Linked DNA regions of Macaca fascicularis. The protein of the gene in region 2 purifies or fractionates together with the protein of the main gene of each other region. This does not show direct contact. Links are inferred from orthologs where the notes say so. Each region holds a gene or a part of one and is shown on either strand. Other genes may lie near its edges.

Region 1 (7,483 bases), on a different chromosome or scaffold from region 2:
TTATGTTAAAAAAAATAGAGCTTAACAATCTAATAAATGATTGAAAGATTTGAATCACCATTTCTCCAAAGAAGATTTAGAATGGCCAATAGACACATAAAAAGATGTTCCACTTCATCACTCATTATGGAAATAAAAATCAAAACCACATGGAGATACCACTTTATGCCCACCAGAAAAGCTGTAATCAAGTTGAACAATGACAGGTGTTGATGAGAATGTGGAGAAACTTAAACCCTCAGGTTGCTGGTGGGAGTAAAAGTGATGCAGCCACTTTGGAAGATAATTAGGCAGTTTCTTAAAAGTTTAAACACAAACTTAGCATACAACCCAGCACTTCCACCCCTAGGAATCTACCCAAGGGAAATTAAAGCATGAGTGGAAACAACCCAAATGTCCATCAGTAGTAGTGGAATACCACTCAGCAAGGAAAAACAACTTGGATGAATCTCAGAAATAGTATACTGAGTGAAAGAAGGTAGACGAAGCACTATACGTGTATGATTTCATTTATGAATGTGCAGAAAAGGCAAATCTATACCAGCAAATAGCAGGTCAGTGGTTGTGGGCAGGGCACGGAGGGATTGGGAGAAGTTAGGAGAGGGGATTGACTACAGACAAGCTCAAGAAAAACTTTAGGGGTGGAGATGTTCTAAAACTGGATTGTGGTAATGGTTGCACAGCTCTTTAAATTTGTGAAAAACCATTATATACCTAATATCTGCATATCAATCATCTTATACAAAGCAGTTTTCTCCCTTGGAGTAATAATGTAATGATCATTCCTTTTTTTTTTTTTTCTTTGAGACCAGCTCTGTTTCCCAGGCTGGAGTGCGATGGCGCCATCTCGGCTCACTGCAACCTCCGCCTCTCAGGTTCAAGCAATTCTTGTGCTTTAGCCCCACAAGTAGCTGGGACTAGAGGCGCCCACCACCTCGCCTGGCTAATTTTTTGTATTTTTAGTAGAGATGGAGTTTCGCCATGTTGGCCAGGCTGGTCTTGAACTCCTGACCTGAAGTGATCTGCTTGCCTCGGCCTCCAAAAGTGCTGGGATTACAGGCGTGAGCACCATACCTGGCCTCGTAATGATAATTCTTAAAGGCTCGGGGATTGTATTAAGGAAAATACTAATGCTTGGTCATCCAGAAAACCCACGTGGGACCTTTGTGTACAAAATAAGCCATATTGAAAGATGTATTTGAATGTCATTCTTCATGTCCACATAGATGCTGGTCTGTCCTTTGAACCATTATGAGAGGTGACTCCAGTGAGGTTCCAAAGTCTGGTTTATCATCCCACACACACACCACCCCCCTCCCCACTGCCTGCCTTTTTTGCCCAGGCTGGAGTGCATTGGCACCATCTTGGCTCACTGCAGCCTCCACCTCCCGGCTTCAAGCAGTTCTCCTGCCTCAGCCCACTCAAGTAGCTGGATTACAGGCGTGCACCACCACACCCAGCTACCTTTTGTATTTTTAATATAGCCGTGTTGCCTAGGCTAGTCTCGCACTCCTGACCTCAAGTGATCCACCCGCCTCAGCCTCCCAAAGTGTTGATTGCGAGATTGTGCCACTGCACTCCAGCCTGGACAACAGAGCGAGACTCCATCTCAAAAAAAAAAAAAATCTTCCTCCTAGCCCTTGCCGTTCCCTTCATACCCTCTCTCTACTGGCTATAGTATGCCGAGAGAGCAAGGGGTGCCTTCTGAAGCACACTTTTTTAAATCTTTCAATACAGGCAGCAAGCTGCCCCTTGGGGGACTGTATTCAAGTCAAGGTGTCACAAATAATAAGACTGTGCTTGCATTGGGGGATGGTAGTGGGGTTGCTTACTATTATCTGTGCTTTCTTACCTAATAGGCTCTGGATTACTGCCACAGCAAGGGAATCATGCACAGGGATGTGAAACCTCACAATGTCATGATAGATCACCAACAGAAAAAGGTACCATTACAGCCAGGCAGCAACAAGCTTGATTAAAAGGCTTAGAGCAGACCAGAAAGCTGTCCAGTGCCCTGAAGGTTTCTGTAGACCCATGGTGGGTTTTTGGGCAAACTTTTGTTACTGTGATTTTTCCCATCTCCATTGTCGATTTCTACTTTGTAAAGCGTAGTACACAAGGAAAGTAGACGGTTTAAGTATAGTGGCTAACTATAGTCACTTGTTTTATTTTGGTCATAGTTTTCTGAAGGGCCTCAGAAAGAAATTACAGCTGGTGATTTCTGCTTCATTTCTTGATGACCTGCAGACCAATCTGCCTGGCCTTAAAAGAACACTTAGGTCCCCCCTATTTTTGATATCCATCTCTGTTGGCCCTAATCAGTGAGTAAATGGATCATCTAGTAGTAGACAAATAAATCATTGGAGCAGTGCTTCAGTCCTGGAGTGGGATGTGTCCCCCCAGCCCTTTCACTGACGCCTGGAGCTTATAACAAAAAGCTATGAATAATGGGAGAATGTGTTACCAAATGTAACTGCCTACAGTTTCTGAATGTAGGCAGAAAAAAAGGTTGAGCTCTGTTGATCTAGAGAGAGGAATGAACCAGGATAATTTAAAATTTTTTCAAAAAGCATTTCAAGTGCTCTACTCTAAAAATGACCTCTTGCACAGTTGCTGAAAATGTCATCTTTAAGCCAGTGCACCTGCTCACATTTTTTGTGTGGACAAATGATTGTTACCTAATGTGATGTGGCCTTGTTCTAAGGCATAGGCCCCTAGAAACACTCCTTTCACATGTTTTTTTCTGTCCTGTTTGTAGCTGCGACTGATAGATTGGGGTCTCGCAGAATTCTATCATCCTGCTCAGGAGTACAATGTTCGTGTAGCCTCAAGGTACTTCAAAGGACCGGAGCTCCTCGTGGACTATCAGGTAAACTTGTTTAGCAGAGCTACTCTGGGCTATTTATACTTGCTTAGGGCTTTTTCTGATTTGCTGTTTATCTAGTCAGTTTGGATACACTCAAAACCCAGCCATTATTTCACCCTAAAATGCTAATTTTAGTTTTTTCTTAGCTAGTTTTTTGGGGGACAGAGAAGTTTTTAAATCTAAAATATCTGTAAAGATTAAATGAAGACTAGAAATTCAGATCAGAACATTTCTAGGAGCCAGAAAGTTAAAAAAAAAAATTTTTTTAAATAATCTACGGCCATACCACCCTGAACATGCCCAATCTCATCTAAAAAAGAAATTTATATCAGAAAAATGGATTTCTACTGCCCTTGGCTGATGGGTTGTCCTTATTGCCTTAGATGTATGATTATAGCTTGGACATGTGGAGTTTGGGCTGTATGTTAGCAAGCATGATCTTTCGAAGGGAACCCTTCTTCCATGGACAGGACAACTATGACCAGGTGAGCAAACACAATCTGGTTCTTACTTATTTGGGGGTGAATGCCAAGAAAATAGCATCCGTAGATAGGAATACTATCCTTGAGCCACTAAATGTCACTCAGTGTCTACATATGAGCTTTTCTTCAAGATAAAGATTGCACAGAATTTTGTGTTTGCCAGGTCGGCAGAAGTAGAGGCAGATAATGCTATCTGTGCCAACCTTCCAAAGTGAATGTGAAGAAGTCAGGCACCTCCTTGTCTCATAAAACTAGATTTTAGCCATTAGATTGTGATGCCCTGTACTTGTCCATCTGTAGAAGATTATTATAAGTTGTGTTATTTTAAAGGCAGTTTGGAAATTTGCATTCATGTGAACTTCTTGTCCTTGGGTCTGCCTGCCTGCCCTGGACTCGTGTTTGTACCTGGTCCCTAGAGGGTTAGTGGTGTGGAAGTCTTCTGATTCTTTGGTAAAGCGTCCTCATGGGCTCACAGTATGTTCTGAGCTCAGTGATTTGGTCAGTTTGTTTTGTGTTTCAGCTTGTTCGCATTGCCAAGGTTCTGGGTACAGAAGAACTGTATGGGTATCTGAAGAAGTATCACATAGACCTAGATCCACACTTCAACGATATCCTGGGACAGTAAGTAAGAGAAAGAGTGCTTTACCTTACCCCGTTTCAGAAGTGGAAAGGTTAGCCAAAATCACTTTCTTTTCCTGTTCTAATTACAGTAAAATGGAAATAGCCGTCTTTTTTCCTATGCATGTTTTCTTTTAACTTATTGAGATATTTGGGCTTTATGTCTTTTAATCATTTTACTTCTCTGAGAGATAACCTATTAGTAGAAAAGATAAAACAAAAATCATAATGTTACAGAAAAAAGTTTTCTGGTACAGCATAAGCTTCTTTTTAATGGCCAAACTTGGAGAGCGATGATTCTTTCAATAAGAGACTTAGTTTTTTTTATTTTATTTTATTTTACTTTATTTTATTTACTTCATACCTCTTCAAGGTGGAGAGACTTACAATTTCTTCTTGTTCTCCGTAATGGTTTTTCTATACAATAGCAAATTTTAAAGTACATTGAGTTTTCAGGTACAGTGCAATAATGTTGAGAAGTAAACAGTTTGTTAACAGTTTTCAAACGGTATTTTGTGTAACCTCGCTGTTCCTGAGGCTAGCCCTGGGAAATATATCTGCTGACCGATAAAAATTACCCACTGTTGGCCGGGCGCGGTGGCTCAAGCCTGTAATCCCAGCACTTTGGGAGGCCGAGACGGGCGGATCACGAGGTCAGGAGATCGAGACCATCCTGGCTAACACGGTGAAACCCCGTCTCTATTAAGAAATACAAAAAACTAGCCGGGCGAGGTGGCGGCGCCTGTAGTCCCAGCTACTCAGGAGGCTGAGGCCGGAGAATGGCGTAAACCCGGGAGGCGGAGCTTGTAGTGAGCTGAGATCCGGCCACTGCACTCCAGCCTGGGTGACAGAGCAAGACTCCGTCTCAAAAAAAAAAAAAAAAAAAAATTACCCACTGTCCTGCATGCCACCCAGAATTGACTAAAAGCCTACCGCATAAAAAATAATCTAGAAAGGTTCCACATATTCTAAATCAGATATTCAGATATAGAAGTTTTACCTAGTTGTGTTTATCTAATCACAGAGCACCATTGTGTTTCAGGATGCTATGCTGTAACTATGGGGCAGTAAGGCAGGCACCAGTTAGAGATTTAACAAGCTTGTAATCAGTACATTGTTCTAAGATTTTGTTGGCTTTAGCCCTAGTAGATAAGGATTCTTGTTGAATTTAGTCTCTGATTACTGATGTTTCATTTTTCTTCTCAGACATTCACGGAAACGCTGGGAAAACTTTATCCATAGTGAGAACAGACACCTTGTCAGCCCTGAGGCCCTAGATCTTCTGGACAAACTTCTGCGATATGACCATCAACAGAGACTGACTGCCAAAGAGGCCATGGAGCACCCATACTTCTGTGAGTCTCCAGGCACTGTGTTCAGGGAGTCATTCGTTCAAGAGAACAAATCTTCCACTCTTTATCTTTGAGACTAGTCAGGAGAATTCTAGGGTATTTGGATTGGATTATTCCAGAATTTGATCTCATTTATTGTAGATGATTGAAACAACTTTGTAGATCCGTTTCTTGATCACCAAAGGTGTTTGCTTATTCTCTGAATGTATCTCCCTTGAATTCAGGCTGTTTGACTACTCCCTGTTACCCTGAGTTAATGGATCACAAGTTTCTAAAATTTGTTTTCAAACGTATATATATTTGTGTGGAAACCTAATTGAAGATTATTTCTCCCTTCAGAAAACTAGTAATTAGTTAAAAGTAGTAAGATAACCATTGTATATTTTGAAAGAAGGAGATGAACAGATGGATGGATGAAAGGAATTTGAGGAAAGATAAATAGGTATGGAGAGACCTCACTGAAATCCTGACTGAACTGCTCACTTAGAAGTGTGTGCGCATTCACTTTGTGTGGTTGCTTATTGTTCTGCATGTGTATGGTTCTTTCCACTGATAATATGTGTTTCAAATAAACTTCCTGTTGTTATCAGTCTCCTTCCTGGGGAGCATGGCGGCTGAGAGACTTACCTCAGTTCGCTTTCTGAATCAAGATGGAAACATTCAACACTTAAAGTCGTTGTCTCTGGCTTAACCAATATGCTGTCTTTCCCTCTCCTTTGATTTCCTCTGGAGATGAACTAAATTCTTGCCTGAAGAATGTGTCGCTGTGGTCTTGAGCCTGTGGCCCGTATGCATAAGGGAGACCACAAATGGAAAAGCCTTCAGCCTTCTAGACCTCAGCCCCAGGGAACTCAGATGTCCCCACTCCAGTGTCTGGGACAGAAAGCTGGTTTTACCCGAGTTAGATCAAATTAGGAATACTGATGTTTATGACATGTCATTAATGATCTTTCTGCTTTTCTGAATATATGTCATACTTCAATTTAAAAAATTTCAAACTACGGTTGCTTAAAATGGATAGGTCTTCTAATGGCTCTTTTTACTCGCCTTTCCTTTGAAGTGCTTATTATTCTACATGCTTTGAAGAAATTAGGGATTAGAGATGATATTAGTATTGAAAGAAAATAAAAAAGTAGAAATTTTGAACAGTGGGAAATTAGGGTTTCTATGCCTCTTAGCAGTTGAGTCTGTACTCTGAGAAAGTATAAGAGTTGACTGCAATAACGATTCCCCTGATCATTTCTCAGTGTTTGGTTTTTATGTGGCTGGAATTCCGTGATTTCCGTCTCCCCTGTTGCCCCCCTGACCCTGGCTTGCCCATCAGTCTGTCTCACTCTCAGTTGAAAGGGTGGGTTTGCCATGGGCTTCTCTCAGCATTCACTACCCCGATTGCCTGACTTTCCTCCTGCTTTCTTGCAGACCCTGTGGTGAAGGAGCAGTCCCAGCCTTGTGCAGACAATGCTGTGCTTTCCAGTGGTCTCACGGCAGCACGATGAAGACTGGAAAGCGACGGGTAATGCGGCATTGATGCTTGCCAATAAAACCAACCAACCAAACACAAACCTTGAAGGAAAACTACAGTGTGATAAAAAGAAATTCTTATCATTCCTTCTAAATGCAAAGAAGAGTAAAGACCTAAAAGTCTGTCAAAAAGCAAGAAAGAAACTCCCCAGTGCTAGTCTCCAGGGAGCTGTCACTGTGGCAGCATGGGGATGTACCTAGTTCAGGATCTGAAGGAGCTCTGCCTTTGGAATGCATGGGAGATAGAGACTCGGAGTTGTTGTACATTTACCTTTGTTTAACAGGGCACCACTGTTGAATTAACCCATTCAGTCAACAAGCTCTGAATGTCTGACTTCCTATCTATTCCATGGTGGTCTGGGTTTCCTTTGGTGAAATTCAGGCTCAAGTCTTAGCGAAATGTCAGCAGTCTATACTGACACACCAGCCTCATTTACAAAAAGGAGATATTAAAACAGTGACAGTATTTTTTTTAAGCTCTTTACAAATCCATGTTTTATGTATTTTTTTATGACATGAGCTCTCCAGGAAATGTACCTCATCCCTGCAGTTTTCCTCCAAGTGGATTCATTTGGGAGCAAACTGCAGTCACTTTCACAAGAGCCCTCTTTGATGTCAGGAGGGATCACGAAACCTTACAATGC
Region 2 (7,483 bases):
TGGTAATATCTTGCTGATCACTACTAATAAAAAAGTAAAAAATAGAAGCTTTTATGTAAAAAAAAGCATATTATTTTAATATTTTGCATTCTAGATAAAAAAATTGAGATTAACATCTGAATTTTAAATCAGCACTTTAACATATACTTTAACACTTTAATATTCTCATTGAGTTTTTGTTTCCTCTTCTTTAAAATGAAGGTAAAAATTCTGAGCTGCCATACTGGGTTACTGTATGGAGTACTATATATAAAAACCAAAATGCTTACAGACATGCCAGACATCAACCACAGAATGGCAAAACAGGGATCACCTCCTAACTAAATCACCTATTGTTTCTCTAGCTACATTTTCAATGGCAAGTATATTCTTTGTAAAAGTTAGAAAATCAATTTATAATACAGATTTTGTACCATCTTAGTTTCTTTTGGTAAGCCCATTTTCCTTACCTGTCTGTTTCAAATTCTTCAGGGTATAACTCTTTATAACCACTGTGACCCCATCTGTAATATGACACACCATATGTATTGTTAAAGCAATGTATACGTTTTTGGAAATTAAAATTAGAAAGACTTTGGAGTACATGCATACACAAACATAAACACAAAATAGAGATATGGTAGAACCAAGCCCACATTACAGCTCAGTAACAGCTACATTTCCTGTATTGTGCACTATCATTTAAGACACAGAAGATTCTTTGGTCCATTTGTAAGAGAACTTGCCATTGTTTTAAGAAACACTAACGAACCTTACACTCTGCTCTTTAGCTGTGAAGCACTTTTCCAAAAACACTTCATAATATCATGCTGTCTACATGGGGACAATTTTTTTTTTTTTGAGATGGAGTCTCTCTCTGTTGCCCAGGCTGGAGTACAGTGGCACGATCTCAGCTCACTGCAACCCCCGCCTCCGGGTTTCAAGTGATTCTCCTGCCTCAGCCTCCCGAGTGGCTGGGACTATAGGCATGTGCCATCATGCCCAGCTAATTTTTATATTTTTAGTAGAGATGGGGTTTCATTATGTTGCCAAGGCTGGTCTCGAACTCCTGACCTCATGATCCGCCCGCTTCGGCCTCCCAAAGTGCTGGGATTACAGGCATGAGCCACCGCACCCAGCCTTATTTTTTATTTATTTTTATTTTTTTCTTGAGACAGAGTCTCACTCAGTTGCCAGGCTGGAGTGCAGTGGTGCAATCTCGGCTCAACTGCAACCTCCACCTCCTCGTTTCAAGCGATTCCCCTGCCTCAGCCTCCCAAGTAGCTGGGACTACAGGCTCATGCCACCACGCACAGCTAATTTTTGTATTTTTAGTAGAGATGGGGTTTCACCATGGTAGCTAGGATGGTCTCAATCTCTTGACCTCGTGATCCACCCGCCTCGGCCTCCCAAGTACTGGGATTACAGGCGTGAGCCACTGCACCTGGCCTATTTCTTTTTAAATAACAACTTTATTGAAGTATAAATTCACATATCATGGAATTCAAAGTGTAGTGCCTCCAGCCCAGGGCAATCACTAATCTACTTTCTGTCTCTATGGAATCGCCTACCACATAAATGGATTCATACAGTTATGTGTGGACATAGTACATACATAGAATCATACAATATGTGGTCTTTTGGAACTTGGCTTCTTTCTTCTCACTTAGCATAATGTTTTCAAGGTTTATCCATGTTGTAACATATATCTGTACTTCATTTCTTTTACTGCCAAATAATATTCCATTGTATGGATATATCACATTTTGTTTACCCATTCATCAGTTGACAGACATTTGGATTTACTTGGCCATTATTTTTTGGGGCCATTATTAATAATGCTGGTATGAACATTTGTACACAAGTTTTTTGTGGGGACAATTAATTTTGATAAGTACACATTCTCAGGCCAAATATTAATGCTCACAGGAATTAATCACAAACCTGTCTGGCATGTTAGCTTCATAATCATATAACTTCTTGTTCCAGGATTTTGCCTTAAGAAAATCATCTTCCAGTGTCCCAGAAATTTCATTCTTTGGCCTCCAATAGTCTCTTTGACTTTCTTCATCAAAACCATCACTGCGCATCCGGCTAAAAGAGAAAGCAGAAGAACTTTTAGATGTAAAAGCAATCTGTGAGTTTACTTTATGGAACATCATGCACAAAACTCATGGAACAAGCTGAGGGGGAAGGAAACAACATGATACTGTTTAAAAAAAAAAAAAGGTAAAGACATCTGTTCCTCTCTATACATCTGTAAAGTCCAATGGAAGAAATCTGACCAGGCCTAGTGTGGTGGCTCATGCCTCTAATCCCAGCACTTTATCTGTTCCTCTCTGTACATTTGTAAAGTCCAGTGGAAAAAAATCTGACCAGGCCAGGTGCAGTGGCTCACGTCTGTAATCCCAGCACGTTGGGAGGCCAGGGCAAGTGGATCACTTGAGGTCAGGAGTTCAAGACTAGCCTGGGCGACATGGTGAAACCCTGTCTCTACTAAAAATACAAAAAAAGTAGGTGTAGTGGCGCACACCTATAGTACCAGCTACTTAGGAGGCTGAGGCAGGAAAATTGCCTGAACCTGGGGAGGCAGAGGTTTCAGTGAGCCCAGATCACGCCATTGCACTCCAGCCTGGGCAACAGAGTGAGACTCCGTCTCAGGAAAAAAAAAAAAATCTGACCATTAGTACACATCCTATTGCAAAGCATAGAGAGATGAAATCAACTCTGGACTGTCATGTGATAGTTCACTCGCTGATTCTCAACTAGGAAGGCATGCAAAGAGGGAAGCAGAACATAATCATAGCTAGGGACACTTCAAACTACCCTAGAGATTCTGAAATACACTTCCCTCTGTGCAAACCAGCAACTTACTATAGAGAGGTCCCAATAACAGTGGGAACAAGGTCTAACCCATGAGAATAGTTGAGTAGGAAAAAAGTTGAGAACCATTAATCCAGCTTCTGTTTACCACTTCTACTAACTAGCCAGTAAGCTGCTAATCAGTTATCAAAAATTCGTAAGGGGCCAGGCCCAGTGGCTCACACCTGTAATCCCAGCACTTTGGAAGGCCTAGGCGGGTAGATCACTTTGAGCTCAGGAGTTCGAGACCAGCCTGGCCAACATGGTGAAACCCTGTCTCTACTAAAAATACAAAAATTAGTCAGGCATGGTGGCAGGTGCCTGTAATCCCAGCTGATTGGGAGGCTGAGGCAGAATAATTGCCTGAACCCAGGAGGTGGAGGCTGTAGTGAGCCAAGACCACACCACTGCACTCCAGCCTGGGTAACAAGAGCGAAACTCCGTCTCAAGAAAAAAAAAAATTGTAAGGGCCTCTTATGTACCAGGTATTGGTCTAGCGGGCAGGAATACAGCAGCAAATGAGAAAATCACAAGCCCTGCTCCTAAAGAGTTTAAGTATTTCTTATATATGTAGCTCTTACACTTACAAGCATATAAGGATGTTCCCAATTATTCAAGCATTCCTAGGCCTCTCCACAAGGAAAACACAACTAACCTTGCATAATCCTTCATATTTACACTCAAGCTATTAAGGTAATGTGAAAAGGCTGTTGATCTGGTGAAGAGGGTGAATACATAGGGTGAAGAAAAGTCTGAGGCTGGGCAAGTGGCTCACGCTTATAATCCGAACACTGGGAGGTTGAGGTGGGAGGACTGTGTGAGCCCAGGATTCTATACCAGCCTGAGGAACACAGCAAGACACTGCCTCTACAAAAAAAAAAAAAAAAAAAAAAAAAAATAGCTAGGCAGAGTGGCATGCACCTGCAGTCCCAGCTACAAAAAGAAAAGCCTGAAAGAATGAAAAATTAATAGAGAAAGGAATGATTGATCAGCTTAGTGACCACAAGATTCCAGTAGAAAATCTTAAGTTAAAAGCTATCAGGTAAGGTTAGAAACCACAGAACCCTACACATTCATAATTGTTCAGGGAGAATTTTTTAACTCTCCATTGTAAATAAGTACAGAGAGTGGGGGCATATGCATCATAGCCATTATCTTTATGCCTAGATTTACGAAAGAGGAAAGGCTTAAGGACTCACAGAACTAAATTCATCTATCCTTAATATACCAAAGTATTTTTAAACAAAAGTTGATGATTCTGAAAAAGATGAGAATTATTTTAGTTCTCAGAGCTGCAACTTCACCTTGAACTGCTGGGTAGCATTTTCCTTTTGGTCCCCCGGTAAGCATCTTCCATCTGTTTTTCCAGTTCTCTTATTTTCCACATATCTGATTCCTCCTGAATCTAGAATTTTTGAAAAGGAAAGAAATAAAAATAAGTTACTAAAAATAACTTTACATTACAGAAAAGTAACTAACTGGCCGGGCGCGGTGGCTCACACCTGTAATCCCAGCACTTTGGGAGGCCGAAGCAGGCAGATCATGAGGTCAGGAGTTCGACAGCAGCCTGACCAACATGGTGAAACCCCGTCTCTAATAAAAATACAAAAATTAGCCGGGCAAGGTAGCATGCACCTGTAATCCCAGCTACTCAGGAGGCTGAGGCAGCAGAATCCTTGAACTCGGGAGGCAAAGGCTGCGGTGAGCCGAGACCACACCATTGCACTCCAGCCTGGGTAACAAGAGCAAAACTCCGTCTCACTGTGCCACTGCACTCCAGCCTGGGCTACAGAGTGAGACTTGGTTTCAAAAAAAAAAAAAAAAAAAGTAACTAACTGAAAATACAATCTGACTAATTATTGGGCTACAGACTGGGCTATGATCAGGAACCTGGAAAACAAATTGGTTTCTCTAGAAAGTGGCTGAACAGTCCAATCCAGTAAATCTCAAATATCTAGAATTATTCCCCAATAGAATTTTTAAACCCCTGTATAAACATCACCTTATCAATTTTGCAATTATGCTGCGATTAGCAAATGATAATGCCACATTTCCAAAATGCAATGTGATTTTAATTGTATCATCTCAATTGAACTTTAAGCAATCTCATGAGGAAAATAAAGCAGCTACCATTATTACATTTTACTGTAAAGAAACAAAAGCTCAGAGATTTTACCAAAGTCAAAAAACTAGTAAGGACAGGTCTTTAAACTCCCTAAGCTATAAATCTCTTCTCATAACATAATTTTTGTCAAAAATAAAATAAACAGTATGGCTGCTAGAGAATTTCTTGAAAAGCAGAATGTGATTACCCAAAGAACAAGAACACATTTTATTTCTAAGTCTTCCCGCATAATTTCATTAGATCTGTGCTAGATTTATCTTTTTCTAGTTGCCATTTTAAATCTAAGCTTACTATACAACCAGGGGCAGGTTAACATAATGGCACAGGCAGCTTGGGGTAACAGTTTTACCCTTGCCCATAATTTTAAAAATCAGGTGATATGATAGTAATAATATGATCAAACCAAAAGTAGTAGTTTACTGAAGAAAACTAAACCAGGTGCCTTGGCCCTCTTTTCATTATATGTGCTCTCCTAGGTGACCTCATCTACTCTCATGACCTCTTATCATCAACCTATACATCAATAATCCCAAAACCTTTATGTTCAGCCCCAACTTTTCTCCTCTACTCCAAGTCTGAATTTTCAACTGCTTGGACATCCTATAAGCACCTCACCATCAACATGCTGAAAACCAAATTACCTTTCCTATCATAATTGTCCCCTTTTTTGTTCTTTATCCCAATTAACAGAATCATCATCACCCACTCAGTCACATAGGTGGTTACACAGTTGACCTTGAACAACAGGGATCTCAACTGTGCAGGTCCACTTATCCTCAGATTTGCTTCCACCTCTGCCACCTGTGAGATAGCAAAACAAGCCCCTCTTCTTCCTCCTCAGCCTACTCAATGTGATTTTCTTAATAAAATGTTCTTTTCTCTAGCTACTTTACTATAAGAATACAGTATATAATACATGTAACATAAAAAATATGTGTTAATCCACTGTTTATGGTATTGCTATGGCTTTCAGTCAGTAGCAGGCTATTGGCACTTAAGTTTTGAGGGAGTAAAAAGTTATACATGGATTTTCGACTATTCAGGGGGTTGATGCCCCTAACCCCTGCATTGTTCAAGGGTCAACTGAATTAGATTCCATTCTTATCATTATCATCTAATTAGCCACCAAGTTCTTTGGACTCTATCTCCTAAATTCCTCTTCTTTATCCCTGCTGTCACTAATTTCACGCGAACCCTCATCACCTCTCACCTGTAATACTGCAATTGCCTCCTAATTAATCTCCCTATTGTTTCTCCCCATCTGATTCATTCCCCACCCATCTGACAAACCATCTTTCTAAAATATAACTATGATCATGTCACATCCTGTTTAAAAACATTTGATGGCTTCTTTACTGCCTAGAGGAAAAAGTCTCAGTTCCAAACATCACAATCCAACTCTAATGACCACTGAGGCCTTATCTTCTGCGCCTATCCCTTCATTCCCCGCTTTCTGGAAAATTTCTTGCCATGCCCTGAGTGATTAATGCTCTTTTTTGTTGCCATATTAATGCATGATGCTCTCTATCCAGAATGATCTTTCATACCTAGTAAGCTTATACTTATTCAAGAACCAGTTTAAATGTCAGCAGCTCAAATACCACTAATTCTGTAAAATCTTTTCTAATTCCCCGGGGTAGATTTTATTATTTCCTCCTTAGTGCTCCAAAGCACTTTGCAAATATCTCTGTTATACAGTACTTATCAAACTGTATTATAATTATCTATTGTATTCATCATTTTATTTCCTACTTTGTACAAAAGCTTTCAAAGACTAGATGACAAGAATATTCTTTGTATCTCCCAGTTGTGCCAAAATAATGCTTGGCACACTGCTTACTTTCAGTAAGCACTGAGGAGTAACTAGGTTGTACCTCCCACCTTATTGTGAGCATCTGTGTGCCGGATGACATTCCTCAGGAGAACTTTCCCCAGTGGAATCCGGGACATTCTTCAATCTGAAATGAATCAACAAATAACGTTTAGTAATAATTTATTTTATTACTTTATCTTTTCTTAAATTTTATAAAGAAGCATGAGGTAAAGGAAAGATCACTGAACTAGAAGTCAAAGATCCTAAATAATAGTTTTCCCTTTACCATTAAAAGAGGGAAATGCCTAAACACACTAATGTGAGATGAAAGGAGATAATGTACATTAAAGTTCTTTGAAAATGCACAAGACTGCATAAAATTAAGTGCTTTCATGAGCACCATTTTATTTAATCCTCATAACTATTTTTTATATGAGGCAAATATCTCCATCCCTATTTTGTAGATGAAGTTCCCTTAAACTTGTCATGCCCCAAGCCACATAGTCCCAGGCAAATGATGTATATCAATGTCTAGATTAAAAATCAAACCTCCAATCCCAATATTAGTTTGCAGTGAAGCAAATACGTAGATTTGAGAGTATCAGGAACCACAGGTGTCAACAGTAACAGAAACTGATGACTCAAAACATCAAATGCAAAGATGTCCTAAACTTCTCCATTTGGGAGCATTTTATTTCCTACTT

Evidence for each region. The genes of interacting proteins can lie anywhere in the genome.
Region 1: the proteins of NKAPD1 (region 2) and CSNK2A2 purify together in Homo sapiens (affinity purification with mass spectrometry; 5 studies listed by BioGRID and IntAct, counting the BioPlex papers as one, with this or other methods). This does not show direct contact. The link is inferred for Macaca fascicularis from reciprocal best matches to the Homo sapiens genes NKAPD1 and CSNK2A2.

The regions. Positions count from the first base shown.
Region 1 is NC_088394.1:54,260,343-54,267,825, reverse strand, and holds part of CSNK2A2 (casein kinase II subunit alpha'), read left to right. Parts: intron 1-1,859; coding exon 1,860-1,943; intron 1,944-2,758; coding exon 2,759-2,869; intron 2,870-3,249; coding exon 3,250-3,351; intron 3,352-3,868; coding exon 3,869-3,969; intron 3,970-5,172; coding exon 5,173-5,321; intron 5,322-6,737; coding exon 6,738-6,814; 3' UTR 6,815-6,831; exon of another isoform or gene 6,832-7,483.
Region 2 is NC_088388.1:111,007,187-111,014,669, reverse strand, and holds part of NKAPD1 (uncharacterized protein NKAPD1), read right to left. Parts: intron 6,925-7,483; 5' UTR 6,917-6,924; coding exon 6,848-6,916; intron 4,247-6,847; coding exon 4,146-4,246; intron 2,074-4,145; coding exon 1,924-2,073; intron 504-1,923; coding exon 450-503; intron 24-449; coding exon 1-23.